Regions from separate parts of the Mus musculus genome. Here region 2 is reported to be linked to region 1. Evidence: microRNA targets listed by miRTarBase, many of them from high-throughput screens and not tested one by one. Region 1 holds a microRNA gene; the other region holds the end of a gene's coding sequence.
Evidence for each region. The annotated mature microRNA mmu-miR-7213-3p reads UACCUCAAGAGAGCCAGUCU and lies in region 1 at 1,241-1,260, shown strand. An mRNA with a match to its seed (bases 2 to 7 or 8) in the 3' UTR can be bound and repressed. Matches are read on the target gene's strand: a 7mer-m8 pairs with bases 2 to 8, a 7mer-A1 pairs with bases 2 to 7 and ends in A, and an 8mer does both.

Region 1 (3,395 bases):
GGCTAGGGAGAGCGCTCGGTGGGTAGAGTGTTTGCTGAGCACGCATGCAGACCTGAGTCTGAAACACCAGCATCCATATAAAAACCAAGGCATGATAGCTGTGCCTGTCACCCTGGTACTGAGAAGGTGGAGATGGGTGAATCCCAGGGGACCAGTCTAGCTGTTGGTTAGCTCCGGGTTAAGTAAGAGTCCCTGTCTCAGAAAACAATATAGGAAGACTTGATGTCAACCTCTGACTTCATACACACATGCACACACACGCACATACACACTGAGAGAGAGAGAGAGAGAGAGAGAGAGAGATCTAAACATATACCACACAGAAAAGACTTAAATGGAGAGCAAATACATTATTTCTGGTTAAATTTATTTGAGACTTTTGATCTCACTGAGAACAATCTAGATTCTTCTTGGCCCTAAATGAGGTTGCAGCGCCTGGCCTCACTACCAACCAGCCCCCTTCACTCACAACATCTCCTGGAGATACACAAGTAAAGGCTGAGCATCCATACAGCTGGGATGTGGAGAGTGGGTCTGACGTTCACGCATCCACCAGAGGAGTGCATGTCTGATTCTGCAAGGGTCAGGCAGTTCGGTTTGAGTTGGAAACATCTCAGAGGCTCCTTTCTCTGTGTAGCGGAAGTACCCGAAGTCTAAAGATGCTCAGATTTCCGGTCACATAGTCCAACCTCAGCCTGGCAGTCTGGCTAACTTATTTATTTTTATTTTCTGTGCATTGGTGTTTTGCCTGCATGTATGTCTGTGTGAGGGTGTCAGCTCTTGGAGTTGTAGACAACTGGGAGCTGCCCTGTGGGTGCTGGGAATTGAACTTGGGTCCTCTGGAAGAGCAGCCAATGCTCTTCACCTTCTGAGCCACCTCTCCAGCCCCCACGCAGGAAGAACTCTTTAAGTGTTAGAACCGGAAAGTTAAGAATATTGCGGGACTGGCCTCCAGGTTCATCTCTAGTAGAGCCTAGGCCAGTGCTGGTGTTTTGGAATTCTTAGGCTCAAATCTGTGTCATTTGTGAGTTGTGTGAATTGGATCAGGCTTAGCGCAGCCCAGCCTCCTGCACATGCCTTTTGGGGCAAAAGCTCTCTGGGGGGTGGTTTCCATGCCCCCTCTGGGTGTCATTCCCCCCCCCCCCCCGAGAATCTCAGCTCCCCCAGATCTCTACCCTGCAAGGAAAACTTCGTTCATCTCAGACTGGGTCTCTTGAGGTAGCCTGAAAGGAAGGGGGGCTACCTCAAGAGAGCCAGTCTGAGATGAACAGACAGGTACCAACCTCACCGGCTGGAGGCCAGGGACTCTCCAGTGTCTCCCAGGAAGTGCTGTCCCCTGCCTGTCTGACCTGGCTTCTCAGAACCCAGGAGGAAGAGCAGTTAGAGTCGGTCTGGTCCAGGATTCCCAGGAACTGTCAGTTCAGCCAGGTGCTGGCAGCATGAAGCACAGATAGATTGCAGGATTTCAAACACAGCTCTCTGCCTCAGTTTCCCCCAACACTGTAGGATGAATAAGACCAACCATGGAAATAAAGGAGTGTGTAGTGGCGCCAGGGACATTGCAGGTGCTCACTGGGGTTCCTGCTTGCTTTATGCGCTGTCTCAACTGTAGGAGGTCACTGCTGATTTTCAGAGTGGTTAAGTGCCTTGCCCCATGGCACACAGTATCAAGAAGAGCCCAGGTTTGGACCTGGGCTGACTCCTTGACTAAGTTGCCAGCCCAGCCCTCCATTCTGCTTCTCTGAGTGCCCAGGAATTTGAACAACAGGCACAGCTCCAAAGAAAGTCTGGTGGCCTCCTCATCTTGTGGCCAGAGGAGCCAGAGGTTGGCGGTATAGGTCTCAGTAGGAGAGATGGGAGGCAGAGGGTCACAGGGTGACAGGCCACCACTCACGGTGTATTGTGGCTGACATTCACCCTGCAGTTCTGTGCAAGAATGAGGCTCCTTGGAGAGCTGACTAGATTTTTTCTGCCGTCTGGCTGTGGCTGGAGGCAGCAGCTACACTGTGGTTCAAGAGCCCCAGTCCCCACATGACCTCTCCAGGCATGTAGTGAGACACGGTGCTTGAAGCACAAAGGAGAGCTGGGCCAGTCCTCTGAAGATGGGTGGGTACCCAGAGCCAATAGGACTTCCTGTTGGGTAGAGGGATCCAGGGCCAGGCCACCTTCAGGGAGTGGGAAAATCCATCTCTGAGTAGAGATGAGGACTTGGGGGCAGGGGGCAGGCACAAAACAGAGTTTCCTGGGTCCGGCACTGCTTGGCCGGCATGCTGCCTTGTAATCCGTTCTCCTTCCCATGAGGTGGGCTGTCCACCTGCTTCACTCCCAGAGAGAGGGGAAGGCATAGAAAGACTCAGTCACGTCCCCAGAGCTGGAGAGCTGTGGGGATTAACTTTGACCTGGTGAAGTCTGTCCTCTCCCTCAGCCATACCCAAGGCTCCCTCCCAGCAGGCACCAAGGTACAAGGAAAACACTCCATTGCTATCAGATGCTGACAAACACTACTTCTTCTTCTTCTCGAGCAGCCAAGACGCCTCAAGCTCGGGTGACCATTCGGACGGTGAGAATCCGCCGGCCCCCCAAAGGCAAGCACCGAAAGTTTAAGCACACCCATGACAAGGCGGCCCTGAAGGAGACCCTCGGAGCCTAGGGGCGTCGGCAAGAGTGTGGGCAGGTGAGGAGCCAACCAGAAAAAACAAGCCTCAGCTACTCCCTGGCTTTCAGCTACTCCCTGGCTGTGACTTAGACAGGCTCCGTGAGAACCAGCAGAGGCATTTGCTCCTGCCTAGCTGAGCCTCAACCTCTCTGAAACAGGGTGCCTGTCTCACTCAAATTTCCCATAGCTCCTCCGTCTCAGACTTGGGACCTGCTGGAAATCAGCATGGTGGCAGGAGCCCTAGCCCCTTGCCTTGGTATGGGGGCCACGGGGACCCTTGAGCTACCTCTGACGCTGTATCCTTCTCTGCCCACAGGGTTATTTAATATGGTATTTGCTGTATTGCCCCCATGGGGTCCTTGGAGTGATAATGTTGTTCCCCTCGTCCGTCTGTCTCGATGCCTGATTCGGACGGCCAATGGTGCTTCCCTCACCCCGTGTGCCCGGCCACCTCCACCAGCAGCGATTCCTCAGCCCGCCCTGCAGCTCCAGATGCAAAGGACTCCACTCCAGGCTGCAGGCTTCTCTTGACTCCAAGAACCTGGAACAAGTGTGCAGGAGCCTTGCCGGGGGACGTGGACTGTGGACTGGCCCCAGAGCCTGGCACTTAGCCCGAGGACCTCTGCATGTCCTGCCTGGTTCCTGGACCACTGGCCAGCCAGCAGGGAACATGTTCAGGCAGGCTAGGGTCCCTTGCAGTCCTGTGGCAGGGAGCACAGACTGGAGGAACTCTGATGGC
Region 2 (3,395 bases), not on the chromosome of region 1:
GAGCGAGCGCGGGGTGTGGGGGCAGCCGCTTCTCGCTCAGCCGCCTCTACGGCTCCCGGCGCAGCTGCCTGTGGCGCAGCCGGAGCGGGAGTGTCAACGAGGCGAGCTGCCCCACGGAGCAGACGCGTCTGTCGAGCCAGGCCAGCATGCGGGACAACGAGGAGGACGAGGACGAGGAGGAGGCCGGGCCACCGCCGCCCTACCAGGACGCCCTCTGCTTCCCTGTCCTCATCGTCCATCGGCAGGAGGGGTGTCTGGGCCACAGCCACCGGTCACTGCACCGCCATGGCTCCTGCGTGGAGACCTCACTGTGACCTCCTGCCTTTGGAGGGAGCCTGCGCCGCCGTTCTCCTTCCTGCCTCTCCTTGTGTTGTGCTCCCTGTGTGTAGCAGGGGAAGGCAGGATGGTGGCTAAGGCCAGGCAGGGTATGAGGGAAGGCAGGAGGTGAGGGGCACTCTCAGACAAGACCTCAGTGATCTGAGACTGCTTCCCTGTACACAGACAGAGGCTGGGAGATTGGCAGCTCTCTTAAGAATCCCATCCACCTGGGCAGAGGTGTTTCTCTCCCAGTCCTCACCGAGTTCCAGCAGGGGGGTACACCCCCTTTCCCATGCACACTCGAGATTTCCCTTCCAGGCTTTCATCGAGTCTTGACTGTTAGTATGTTGTGGGACCCGTTTCTGGCCTCCCAACCAAGGGAGCCATCATGGTGGGTACCAAGAAAGGCAAAGCACTTGGGGCTTTTTTTTTTTTTTTTTTTTGCCCTGGCTCCCCGTGGAGATGGGCGGTGGTTTGGTGAAGAGCAGCAGAGTTGGCTTCCAGCCAGCAACTGTGTTCCCGGGTCTGAGGGTGGGGCCAGATGGCAGCCCAGTATTCATCTCCATACCTTGAAAGAGTTCTGGCCTCTCGGCGCTGCCTCCCGCCGCCGCTGGGAAAGCCACACTCAGCACTGTTGTTTGTTTCACTTGAGCCCCAGAGGTCCGGTCCTGGAGGGACTTTTCCTCACACCAATGACGTCACTCACCTCGGGGCTTACCGGCTCTGAAGAGCTGTTGTCAGGGTGCAGGGCAAGGGAAGGGAGGCTGGGAGGGCTCCGCAGGCCTTTTCTGGAAAAGACTCAGTCTCCGGTCCATCAGCTGCTTCCTCCCCTAGGTTCTGGGTAGGTGCTTCCGTCAGGGAGGCCATCCTGGAGGTCCTCATTAAAGCCCGCCAGGGGTGAGTGAGTGAGCAAGTGGACAGAGCCTGAGACACACCCCGATGTCGAGAGACCTCAGGAGTAGAGTTAGTAATGGCTGGTAGACTGAGACTAGCCCTGGAGGGATGGCGATGGGCTGGCGTGCTGTAGCTTTTCCTCAGCAGGCAGTGGAGCAAACACTTAAGAAGGATGTCCCTCACACATGCCTCCATAGAGCCGAGTCCATCCCAAACCCTAGCTAGAGAGATACCCATTTCCAGTGGCAGGAGATCCGTTCTCACCAGACCCTCCACTTCTTCCTGTCCAGCGAGTTGAAGCTCTAGGTCTTCAGAGGGGCTCCATGACACAGCCCCGGGGCACCAGCCCTTTGTCCTGTCCCTTCAAAGCTCTGACACCAACTTTGCTCTCCCCTATACCCTCTTACCCCTCCACCCCAGTGTGCATGTCTGTGTTTGGCCCCTTGCTCTCCCAGCTGCCCTGGCTGACGTTTTCCCAGCAGACTTAGTACCCAGGGATTGGGCTCACATCCATCCAATCTTGCTCCCTCTGCTTCTTGCTTTGCCTTCACCAGCAGAACTCCATCTTTTTGGCTTTCCCTCTTCCTCCTGGCTGTGCCAGGCCTATGCCAACCAATGGGAGTGGCCCCTACCTATGCAAAAATCTCCTCTGGCTCCCTGTCCCCTTTTTCCCTGGGGAATGTGGGAAGCCCTGTTGTGGGGATGCCATGGTCTAGGGCTCAAATGGGGGCTGAGCTTTCTGGTTATACAGAGATGCTTGGGTGAGGAGGGAGGGGTGTCAGAGAAGGATAGGTTTGGGCAGAAGGGAGCAAGCACACCACTGGGTTTCCTGGGCAACAGTGTCCTCTGGCCACTTAGCACAGAACCCTCCAGGACCCTGAATTTGAGGTGTGTGTGTGTGTGTGTGTGTGTGTGTGTGTGTGTGTGTGTGTGTGTGGTGTTGACTATTGGAGCACAGGTACTGAGTGAGCTGTGGCCTCAGGCCTCAGTTCTTGGCCAACTGGTACCTGAATGTCTTGTTCTCATTTAGGGGCAGCTTGGCCATCTTACAGCTCCAAGGAGGGAAGGACTTGGCTCATCCTCTTTCATTCTGGGTCCAGAAACTGAGCTTGGCCTTGGGAGAGGAGGGGGTGGGGAAGCCCCGTTATTATTTTTGCCTGACCATTTCTGCCTAGGTCTCCTTGCACAGACAGCCTCACCTCCCACACACACACGCACAGACTTAGAGAGAAAGCAATTCTTTGGTTTCTTTTCTTGGTAGCTTTATTGATTGCCAGGGAAAATGAAAACCAGAAAATTAATTAATCTCTAAAATTAAACTTTACACTGAATGTTCTTGTTTCTCTAATTAGAACCTCTGCTAGCAGCTGTGGCTACACACACACACACACACACACACACACACAAACACAGAGAGAGATACAGATACACACACACACACACACACCCTCACACCTACATGTTTGCACTCTGGAACTGTCAGAGGGTGTCAGGCACAGAGGACTCTAGGCTGCCCCCGACAGGCACACACACAGTCACTCCCAAGCCCCCTCTGGTGCTCTACTCAGCGCCTGCTTCTTGCAAAGAGTCCCTGGAGTGCAGGCCCTCTTGGATTGCAGCTGCAGTCGCCCATCTTTGAGGTAGACGGGCACTGGGTCACTCAGCCCGAGGAGAGTTGGGAGATAAGAGTTTGAATTAGTCAGCCAAGATCCTCTCATGAATCCATAGTCTGTGATTCCTATGGGTGTGGCCCCATGGTGGGCAGTCACAGCGTGCCAGGGACTCAAGGAGAGGGTACCTGGAAGACTGTATGTCCTGAGGATAAGGGCTTGTGGGGTGGGCTAGGCCTGGCTCGGGAGAAGACAGGCCTCTGTCAAATTGGGTGCATCACACTGTGGCCTTTCTGTCATGGAATTCCAAGCGCAAAGATTGTACAAATCACACTGATGGATAATAAAAGTGTGGATGACTCACTGGTCTGCTCCCTCAGTGACACTTGTTCCCCATCCTTCTGCCCCCCGCCCCCCCCATTCCCGGTTTGAGGGTTAGTGAGGGCGCGATCTGTACAAGCAGACAACGTCAGGCAAGTAGCATCTCCAGGGAGGGTGGGAGGGTGAGGGAGACAGGCATAGTTCTGCTCTGTGTGTGTACACGCATATGTGTGTGTGTATGCATGTGTGCTC

Region 2: miRTarBase lists Tmem151b as a target of mmu-miR-7213-3p. Seed matches in the 3' UTR shown: 7mer-m8 at 2,096-2,102 and 8mer at 2,848-2,855.

What each region holds. Positions count from the first base shown.
Region 1 is chr15:79,996,835-80,000,229 of GRCm38, reverse strand. Mir7213 (microRNA 7213) reads left to right here and starts at 1,204; the gene lies at 1,204-1,260. Pdgfb (platelet derived growth factor, B polypeptide) reads left to right here. Exons shown (of 7, transcript NM_011057.4): 6 at 2,526-2,674; 7 at 2,973-3,395. The coding sequence ends at 2,650.
Region 2 is chr17:45,541,746-45,545,140 of GRCm38, reverse strand. Tmem151b (transmembrane protein 151B) reads left to right here. Exons shown (of 3, transcript NM_001013749.2): 3 at 1-3,201. The coding sequence ends at 314. It overlaps Tcte1 (t-complex-associated testis expressed 1), which reads right to left. Exons shown (of 5, transcript NM_013688.2): 5 at 2,462-3,395. Among named protein-coding and RNA genes, the nearest start is that of Tmem151b, 6.2 kb to the left of the region's middle.